Linked DNA regions of Bombyx mori. The protein of the gene in region 2 binds, or shares a complex with, the protein of the main gene of each other region. Links are inferred from orthologs where the notes say so. Each region holds a gene or a part of one and is shown on either strand. Other genes may lie near its edges.

Evidence for each region. The genes of interacting proteins can lie anywhere in the genome.
Region 1: the proteins of ubiquitin-conjugating enzyme E2 G2 (region 2) and lipid droplet-regulating VLDL assembly factor AUP1 are in contact, whole or in part, in a crystal structure (PDB 7LEW), measured with the Homo sapiens proteins. The link is inferred for Bombyx mori from reciprocal best matches to the Homo sapiens genes UBE2G2 and AUP1. Residues at the interface, in NP_003334.2 of Homo sapiens: Tyr13, Thr17, Pro20, Gly23, Ile24, Val25, Ala26, Gly27, Pro28, Met29, Asn30, Glu31, Glu38, Leu40, Met42, Glu45, Glu50, Phe51, Val53, Pro55, Lys156, Val159, Gln160, Ser162, Leu163, Leu165; in NP_853553.1 of Homo sapiens: Ser379, Arg382, Gln383, Leu386, Arg389, Lys390, Leu393, Tyr394, Tyr396, Ala397, Arg398, Arg400, Phe401, Thr402.

Annotation. Positions count from the first base shown.
Region 1 is NC_085117.1:18,440,775-18,446,277, forward strand, and holds the start of lipid droplet-regulating VLDL assembly factor AUP1, read right to left. Parts: upstream 3,480-5,503; 5' UTR 3,337-3,479; coding exon 3,299-3,336; intron 1,617-3,298; coding exon 1,450-1,616; intron 768-1,449; coding exon 655-767; intron 1-654. Other genes in the region: mucolipin-3, read left to right, coding at 4,407-5,503. UniProt on the Homo sapiens protein: Plays a role in the translocation of terminally misfolded proteins from the endoplasmic reticulum lumen to the cytoplasm and their degradation by the proteasome. Plays a role in lipid droplet formation. Induces lipid droplet clustering.
Region 2 is NC_085107.1:15,238,369-15,242,514, reverse strand, and holds part of ubiquitin-conjugating enzyme E2 G2, read right to left. Parts: intron 1,370-4,146; coding exon 1,229-1,369; intron 1,107-1,228; coding exon 985-1,106; 3' UTR 1-984. UniProt on the Homo sapiens protein: Accepts ubiquitin from the E1 complex and catalyzes its covalent attachment to other proteins. In vitro catalyzes 'Lys-48'-linked polyubiquitination. Involved in endoplasmic reticulum-associated degradation (ERAD).

The sequences.
Region 1 (5,503 bases), on a different chromosome or scaffold from region 2:
TTCTGAATTAAAATATTCAGAAAATCACTAAGAGGAAGTAGATTAATTCCAGATTCAATTTAAATTGTTAATGTAATGCAATTTTTATAATTATGCAACTAGTTCCAGTTCACAGTTATAAGCAAAACAGGCAAAGGAATCCAATGAGGACCTGCCAATGTTGGAATACAAAAAAAAGATCACCCGTACACTGTAATGATCTACAATTAATATGTCACATCAAAGTGCAACATCTAGTAAGTAACCAACTCTATAATATACTTCGCTGCACAAATGCAAATGTAGAATTTTATATGATGGCGAATTAAAAATACTGAAGCTGTGGCTTAGAATACAAGATGCCTAGAGAACTTGTATCGGGTGATACAACTGTATTAGTATTCCATAGACAGATAACATTTTATCATCCACAATGTAGGTAATCAAAGGAAATTCTGTAATAAAGTGCATATAGTTTTATCAGCATCACGGTGAGGAAGGTTTGAACAGCTGTTATATGATAAATATCACTTCCATTTCCCAAGATGACAGATGGACTGTTCCAGTTACCGCTTAACTCTGGGTGGGAATTGAGCTCATTAACCTGTCTATGCAATAAATTATTATTTAAGTTGATTGTGTAATTAGAATCAAAAGTAATAATTTAATACTGACACTTATGGTACCAAAGACATGTGCAGCTGCAAGAGAATCGAAACATGTCACATAGTTAGCAACCAACACACTACATCTTGGGTCTCTTTGTCCTTTGAGCTTCACATAGACACCTGAAACATATATATTTTCAAAGCATTAAATTTAATTGATAAATTCAGATGACATTTTATTTTATTTTAAAGATCGAAACAGAGAAACATTCTTGAAGGTCCAACTATATTCCAAAACCTTAGTGAAGCTGGGAAGGCAATACAACAATAATACACCAGCAAAAAACAAACCTTAGAAAGTTTAACTAAGGCATGCAAGTGATAGGATATGAAGCAATCCAAAGTAAAACTATTATAAGGTGTGACATAGTGTGTGTATTGTATGATAGTGACTAGTAGTGAGCATTAAATACTACTAATACTTCAAATCCTATTAGATGATTACTTTGTGGCAGAGATAGAATGGTGCAGTAGTTTGAAATCAGTGCTGCCACCCTAGCACTAACAATCAATCGACAAACAGAGAAAGTTACTTAGGAAAATATGGTACCCCTACTGATTTTTTGTATGAAATTGAGTTTAGTAAAATGTAGTAATTAAATATGTGGTTCCAACCAGCTCCTCCCATAGATCTTTTAAATTATCTGTTATACCATAATATGTTGTAATGTCAATGGGGAACCGCACAAATGTTCACCCATCATGGCAACAAAAAAATTCAGGATGTCCCACTTTTCATTCAGACAAATAACACATATCATCCTCAGGCATTAAACACATTTATCAATTTTCAAAATCTTACCAAAAGTCCAACAAGCCAAAGTAGTTAACATGTGACTGACTGCCCATTTGTTGGGCAATATAATTGATGCAATCCATAATATCACACCCAGGAATATTCTGATCACCATCAGAATAACTCCAATTGGTAAATACAGTAAAAATTGCAATGCATTTTCTCCATTGAATCTGAAAAGCAACAAAAACAATAACCATTATAGTTTATATATCTTCTATTCTATTCTATTCTATTCTATTCTATTCTATTCTATATCAGTACTAAATTTAAAAAATCATCATATTGGACATTCATTCAGAACATTTGAAAATCAAACCTCTACCACTGGTTGCAAGATACCTATATTACTGAAAACTAAAATATGACAAAAAAAACTCAGTGGGTGTGATTTTCCTATGTCCCTGGCATTGTTAACGTTCATGAGTGGTAGTAAGCACTCACCACCAGATGGGCTTATCTACCTACTAAGACAATAAAAATACAAAAAAGAAATATAAACAGAATGACAATACATAGTAAATGAAAAGGGGGGGTGAGCGGAAATGATGAGTAATGTAGTAACAGAGAACAGATGAGTAACAGAGAACTTCACTTCCAAACAAACCCATCTAGTAAAAATCTCTTATTGACAATCATTCTATAAAAATTTTGTTAAATCTTTGAAGAAGTAGTCATTAATTTCTGGGATTTAATTGAAAATGTGCACACATAAAAAAGTTACTTGTTCTCTTGATTTCAGATACTAGCCTTTGCTAGATGTTCTAATCTAACCCAATCTGTCAATGTAGGCAGCGGTTTGGCTTTGCCCCTGGCATTGTTGAAGTCTAAAGGCAATGGCATCTACTCACCATCAGGTGGGCTGTATTGTCTTTCTACAAAGGCAATAAAAAAAGGCACATAAAATTTTCATATTGGTATGGTTAAGTTTAATTAAGATTTTAATTTCCTTAAACTTGTCCCCAAGGACTTTCCTCATTGCATGTTATAAACTTATTATAGATTTCTCAATACTATTGTATTTGAAACACAATTGTAAGGTCAAGTGCTTTAAAACAATGTCTCTGAAACTAGAGATTTACATATACAATTAGTTAATCACTCAATGAAAATTTATATTTATTTTATGTTTAGATAATGTTGAAAATATGATTTAATATTTGTTTTTTCCCAATTCACAGTTCAAACAACTGAGACTGAGAGACTGAGAATCTTTCAAGGTTTTAATTATGAATACTGTTCAATGTACCTACTTAATCTGTTGCCATGTCCATAACTTGTATTTGAAAAACATTCACATTTTAGCCTACACATTAACATACATATTGAAGCTGTAAAATCAAAAAACTAATAGACCCAAAAAGCAGCAGATCTAGGGTACTAAAGGTAGAGTGGAGATTTAAAAATATTTACTTTGAATTACAAGGAAATTAAAATACCAGATCCCATGATAGTTATCTAGTCTTGTAATATTTGTAAATAAAATAAATACTACTTTTACTTTTCATGTAATTAAAGTCTCAATGTCGTAGTGATTTTCAAGTATAAGAATTTGTAATTAAAGTCTCAATGTCGCAGTGATTTTCAAGTTTATGAATTTGAAGCAACAACATAATTTCGTGATTAGATTTTTCATAGACTAAATATTGTTTTTATACTCAATTACATTGTTTATTTACATACATTATTCAATGAAATGCTGTGAAATTGTTTATGTATTTGCAATCAGACTGTAAAAAATTAAGATGTGAAAATGTGTAATTTTTATACGTTTTATTTTATAGGGTCGAGTGGGCATCAACTTTCCCCGAACTAAATCACGTAACAATAAATATTGTTAAAATTATTATTGTACCTCTCTTTGTTGATTAACTTTTCTGCCGCAAGAGCCATCACCGAATATGTAGATAGATGTTTTGTTGAATATTTACGCTGTCTGCCATATATTTTTTATAAAATTCTCGATGAATTTATGATCACAGTAGGTAATACATACAGGCAATGATGTGTTCTTCGTTCGACATTTGGCAAACATAAATTATTCCGTTGGTTTGTTTTATTTAGTTACACAAAGGGAAATAATTCCATACAGTTCTGTCTTTTAAAATTGTCAAAATTAAACCGAACCGTTTGGGTGAAAAAGGAAGTGATATTACTGTAGAAATTACTCCGCAATAGTGTTTTTGGAATGAAAGTGAATACAGAAGTTTTGTGAATTGTTTTGTTTAGTTAATTCTGTGCTTATTCAAGTTTAAACATATAAAAACCGTTTAGTGTCCATGAAGGTGAAGGTGAGTACATGAACAAAGTACTGGACTGGGATTCCTGGGTTCTTCCCAAAAATCTACCGAAGTCTCAACAATTACGATATTTTAATACATACACATAACATACAATATTTTGCGATTGATAAGAAACAATTTTTTTTTTACCCTGTTGATGAGCTTCAATTAATTTCACTTTATTATAATGTTTACTTCACAAAGCGGCAAAGTAATACCTGATTATCACTTAAACTCGCAAGAAGCCGATGTTTTTATATTGATAGATAGAAGAGAACCCCATCATTTAACTGAGAAGTTTGTTCATCCCATTTCATTATATTTCTATTTCAGTGAATTTTGTTAAGTTTTACTTATTGTGGAACTAAAACAACTTCGCCTTTTATAACAGAATAGTTATTGCGTGGTACCATTTGCTTATTCAATTTAATAAATAAAAAACACGTGACATTCTGGTATAATGTGCAAGTGACAATTTTAAATCGAGGACTCAATCCTTGAAAGTAAACAAAGAACAACAGAAACATTATTTTAATTATTAATCGAATTCATTTTTACTATTATTCGAATCTTAAGTTCCATGTAGCGTTTCAAACTCTAATTATAGTAAAAAAAACAAGTTCGAACGTTCGTGACAAATTGACCTTGTCTTTTTAGAAAATTATATTAGAAGTTATATCCATGGATGAAATCATGCATGCCCCTGATGATACTACCTGTTCTGAAGGCGAAGACGATCACAAAAAGGAAATTCGACCGAATGCCAACAATGAACAAGATTTTCCTCACCAATCGACTTCGTTCTCTCCGCCTACTCAAATGGAAGAAAAAATGCGTAGAAAACTGCAGTTTTTCTTTATGAATCCAATCGAGAAATGGAAAGCAAAGAGAAAATTTCCTTACAAATTTGTCGTGCAGGTAATCAAAATTGTACTTGTGACTTTTCAGCTATGTTTATTCGCTCATAACAGATACAATCACGTGAACTATACATGGGATAACAGAATCACATTCTCGCATCTATTTTTACTCGGCTGGGACTCTACACGTGAGATAAACGCATATCCACCGGGAGCAGGACCACTTGCTTTGTACAAAATCGATGAGTTCTACAATACATTAGACTATGCAGTTGCCGGTTATACTAATTTATCTAATGCGATAGGCCCATATTCGTACAATGATGAAAATAACTTTATGCCAGATCCTGTCTTTTGCCAGTACAACTATAAACAAGGCATTATTTATGGCTTTAATGAGAGCTACCAGTTTAACTCTGAAGTCTTTGAGACCTGTATAAATTTCACAATTAAAGATAATGAAGATTTCAAATCTGAAGCGTACATTAGAGATGCTGGATTGAACATCAGTTTCTCATCATTAGTTAGAGCAAAATTAATGTTTTCCATCAAAACCATCAACTTCAGGGCTGCCGGTCCCATAACTCCACCAGACTGTTACCGGTTTGATGTTGAAATAATATTTGACAATGAAGATCACGATGGACAAATGTCCTTGTTTCTGGAAGCAGAACCTCACAAGCTAGAATGTAAAGGCGACACAGCTTATGTGACGGATAATAAAATTGACCAAATACTCAGGAGTACTTTAAATATTTTAGTTATTTTGATTTGTGCAGCCTCGTTTGTGCTATGCAGCAGAGCACTCTACAGAGCACAGTTGCTAAAAGAATTAACAGTACAATTCTTTAGAAGACAATATGACAGAGACCTAAGCTTAGATGGAAGATTGGAGTTCTTGAATATTTGGTATATTAT
Region 2 (4,146 bases):
GTATTTAGTATTATGTTAGTTTTTCCATAACATTCATAGCTCTTTGTTTTTTATTGCTCTACTTAGGTAGTTCACAGTACACTTTCACTTTAGATTAGCTATTTATTCTCGTTTCGGCTTCGGAAACGATCTGTTAACAACCCTTTATTATTGGCATATTCTTTAACTTTTAAAACATTTGTAAATAACTCTTATGTTTTAACAAGATTCATTATATTACTCAACATTGCAATAATAAAATCTAAATAGCCTATTAAAACCATGTCTATATTTGAACTTTATTTTTTTTTTAGTTAAATTACCATCTTGTACTACTACACAACACAAATGTCAGAATCCATCACATTATAATAAAATACATACCCAAAAATCTTCAAACCATGTACAAATTATTGCTTCATTTTTCATTATAAATATGATTATGATACCAACTCATAGGTTCTCAAAACCCTCTCTACCACAGCTACTCAAAACTAGAATTAATTAAGTAGGAAATTTGTTCTGTAAATTTTACATTGCAGTACCAAGCCCGTGATGCTTTCCTCGATTGGCTAAGCAGGTCTCATAAAGTTTAATGTTAAAAACCTTTATATGAATATAATTATTGTAGTTTAACAAATTGTAACTTCAACATTTATAAATACAAAACATTATTTCTGTTAAAAGTTTCATATCTCTTTCATGATAAATAAAATGACCAGAGGTCAATCGGTTTGTTAATTGACGCTCCTTAAGTCAATATAATTGATATAACAAGCAAAGTCTAATAAGGCTTCCAAAACTAGTTGGCAACATTCTAATATTTTATGCATGAGCTTTGCAGATAAAAGTTGATAAAAATGTTTGTTAAAAGTGAATATATTATATAACATTATAAATATAATTTGCGAATAATAAAATACCGTACCTAAACGTGATATCCATTTCAGCATTTACTTAGCATCTCATTTAGATATTGATATAAAATAATCAAGAAATAAAATATTAAGGAGGGGGCAGGTCCAGAGTTTTCCTTACGATTTCTTCGGCTATTTTATTAAATTGTTCTCTGTCTTCTCTCCACATTTTGGCAGCATCGACATTGGCTCCACTTTCGTCGTTGGGTTCTGAAATATGTTATTATTGAACAAATTCAGCTTCTGTCTACATTAATGATACAATAATTTATTTAGGGGTAAAAAATATATATTGCTGTTTTGGAATTCAAATTGTAAATTTTAAAACCCACCTGCTAACATGCTGACAACAGAGAGCAGTATTTTTTCGACACTTTGTACAGGTGACCATCTTTCAGCACTGGTTTCGTAGCCCATTGGATCATCACCTGGTGCATGTAAGATTGATATGCATACCCGACCATCAGCATATACTGTAAATTGAATAAATTTAATTAATTTCATGTTTTTTAAAGTTTATAATCTTAGTAGGCTGACGGCATTTTCCATTTTTCTGATGATGCGTGGTCATCGTCGTTTGCGGCAGCAATAATAAGGAGTGCCAACACACTACTTGAGACAGAAAATACTTCACACCTCATACACATGATACATTTCGCGAAACATCATAATATAGAGAATAGACATTCGTACTAGAGCCTGTCACACAAATGAACAATGAAGACCTACAGTGGACCAGTGGGTGGTTTATGGCCTTTTTTTCTTTCTTTTTTTCTCCTACCTATGCTGATAGCCTTCAGTGTGCAGTAAAAATTAACCCAATTTTGAATGCAGTTGGAACAGCGCCCCTAGCGGAAAACGTAGGCAAACGATCCCATTGCATGCAAATATGAGCTAACTTTTACGCTATTGAGAACGTTAATAAACTAGAACTAAGCACACAGAGGCTATTTCAGTTTCGCCATAACGTATGGGTGAGCTCACAGGGTTCAAACCGGTGTGATGCTAGCACTGGCCCTAGCAAGGACCGTGCTTCGCAGAATCTACCACCAGATCGGAAACGCGACCCGCTGAGAAGATCCGGCGAGAAACTCAGTGGGCTGCGTCTATGGGTTTATGGCTATAACTCTTCCCCAGTGATCTTTCGAGCAATGAATTATGCAATTAAAAATGAGATCGCAGAATATATAAATTCTTCTCAGTAAAGATGCAGAAACATACAGTACATTTCTAGAGAACAAAAGTTTTTCCATAGGGCCATGTAGCTCGTCATGAGTAAGACTATGAGTACCTACCTACCTACTTAATGATTGTTGTTATGTTAACATTGAATTTTGTCAAAAACATATTTTACTAACCTTATTTAAAAAAAACATACTAGGTAATAGGATTTTAACTAAGACAATTATCTCAAAAAATATTGTTTATTGATAATGAAACCATTTGCCTTTCAATTTATTCCGAAAGATGGTAAGTTTTTGTCAGTTGCTCTCTTAATTGTAAAAAAGTAATCCAATTTTAATACCAAATTTAACTTTATATTTATGAAAAAGAGCAATGTAATCATTTCATTTTTGAACTGCAAATACATTTTCATGCCATCAGATGTGCATTGTCATTGCAATTAAATACAAGGTTGTTTATAGGTTATCAAATACATATTATTTTAATTTAATAGTTTTATTTTTGTTATTGAAACATAGTTGCAATATTGCAATTTTATTAATTGATAACATGTGACCTCCTTAATAAAAATAAACAATGTTATCAATATATTTATGCATATAATGATGAAATGACTTTTAAATAATAATTTTAAAGCTGTTTTTTTAAACATCTAATTATATTCTTTATAAATATTTGAATAAGTATGTACATAGGTAGTATTTATAATTTTCTTGGACATGTTATTCCATACCATGAGTTCTAGAGAAGTTAGTATTAAAATTAGCTTTACTTTCAATTCTTGATACAGAAACACCATTTTAGACCGTATATTACTGAGCATTAAAAAACAATAAAAAAAGTGTACAGGTATGTCTGCCTCAAACTACTTGATAGAAACTAGAACAGTAACAAAATCTTGGGATGATTTTGGTGCTTTGAGAAATATATTCTGGATAAATTTTCTGTTCAATTTAAAATGTCAATCCTTCAACCAACTTATCTTCACTGGTCATAATTTATAGTCACTTGCCTAATATACTTTCACTAGAATGCAAGTCACTTAAAGAATCATGGAGTGTGCTATGCTTATAAAATCAATTTAAGACCACATTATAGTTGTGACAATTCAGATACTGAAATTTTGAGATTAGCGAGTCCAGATAGCAAAAACCTTGTCAAACTTGTCTCAGAGGATGTTACAGAGGGCAGGTCATTCATACTATGCAGAAGACCTTACATTGCAGAGGAATAAATAAATATATAACTGGGAATATATCACGAACAGTCATCTGGCCCAAAATTAGGATTCCCCATGGTATGGGTACCAGAAATTGACATAAATACTTAGGTACATTTAAATATATACATATATAGATAATAACCACCCAGAAAAAGAACAAACAAACCTCTCCATCACACGAATGTTTGCCCGATGTGGGAATCAAACCCACAACCCTTGGTGCAACAGTAAGGACTGCTAACTACCGCACCAGTGAGTCAAAGTCAAATTTGATCAGTTATTATTATATGAATTACTTATATTCTGGATTATGGAATACTTTATTAGTCATTTTAATAATGTACGCAAGCATTACAAATGTCCAAATATTTCTTTATTCTTTGAGCAAGGTATAACCTATTATAACAAAAAACCCAAAGGCTTTTTTTTGCCTTTATACTTTAGAGGTTTTAAAATTAAAAATACTTTAATAGGGATGATTTTACAGCCTGTAAAGAAAATGTGAATGGTAAAACCAAGTAGTGTTGAATTTTATTATATTTACATATTCATATAATAATATGTAATTTTTTTCTGGCAAGGAACAGAATGCATAGAAAGCCAACCACTTAACTTAACACTTCTTTTCAGATGTGATAGTAAATTTTGGATCAGGCTCATAATATTAGTCTTAACCATTTAAAGGCATCAGAGAATGCCTACTTAAAATAATTTTGAGTTAAGGCTGTATGGCCTAGCAAATTACTATTCATAATCACTACTTGTTTCTTTAGTTACTACAAGTTGTAGACTTAATTAAGACTATTTATTTCTGTTTAATCTTGTGTTTGTGTTTACAGATGA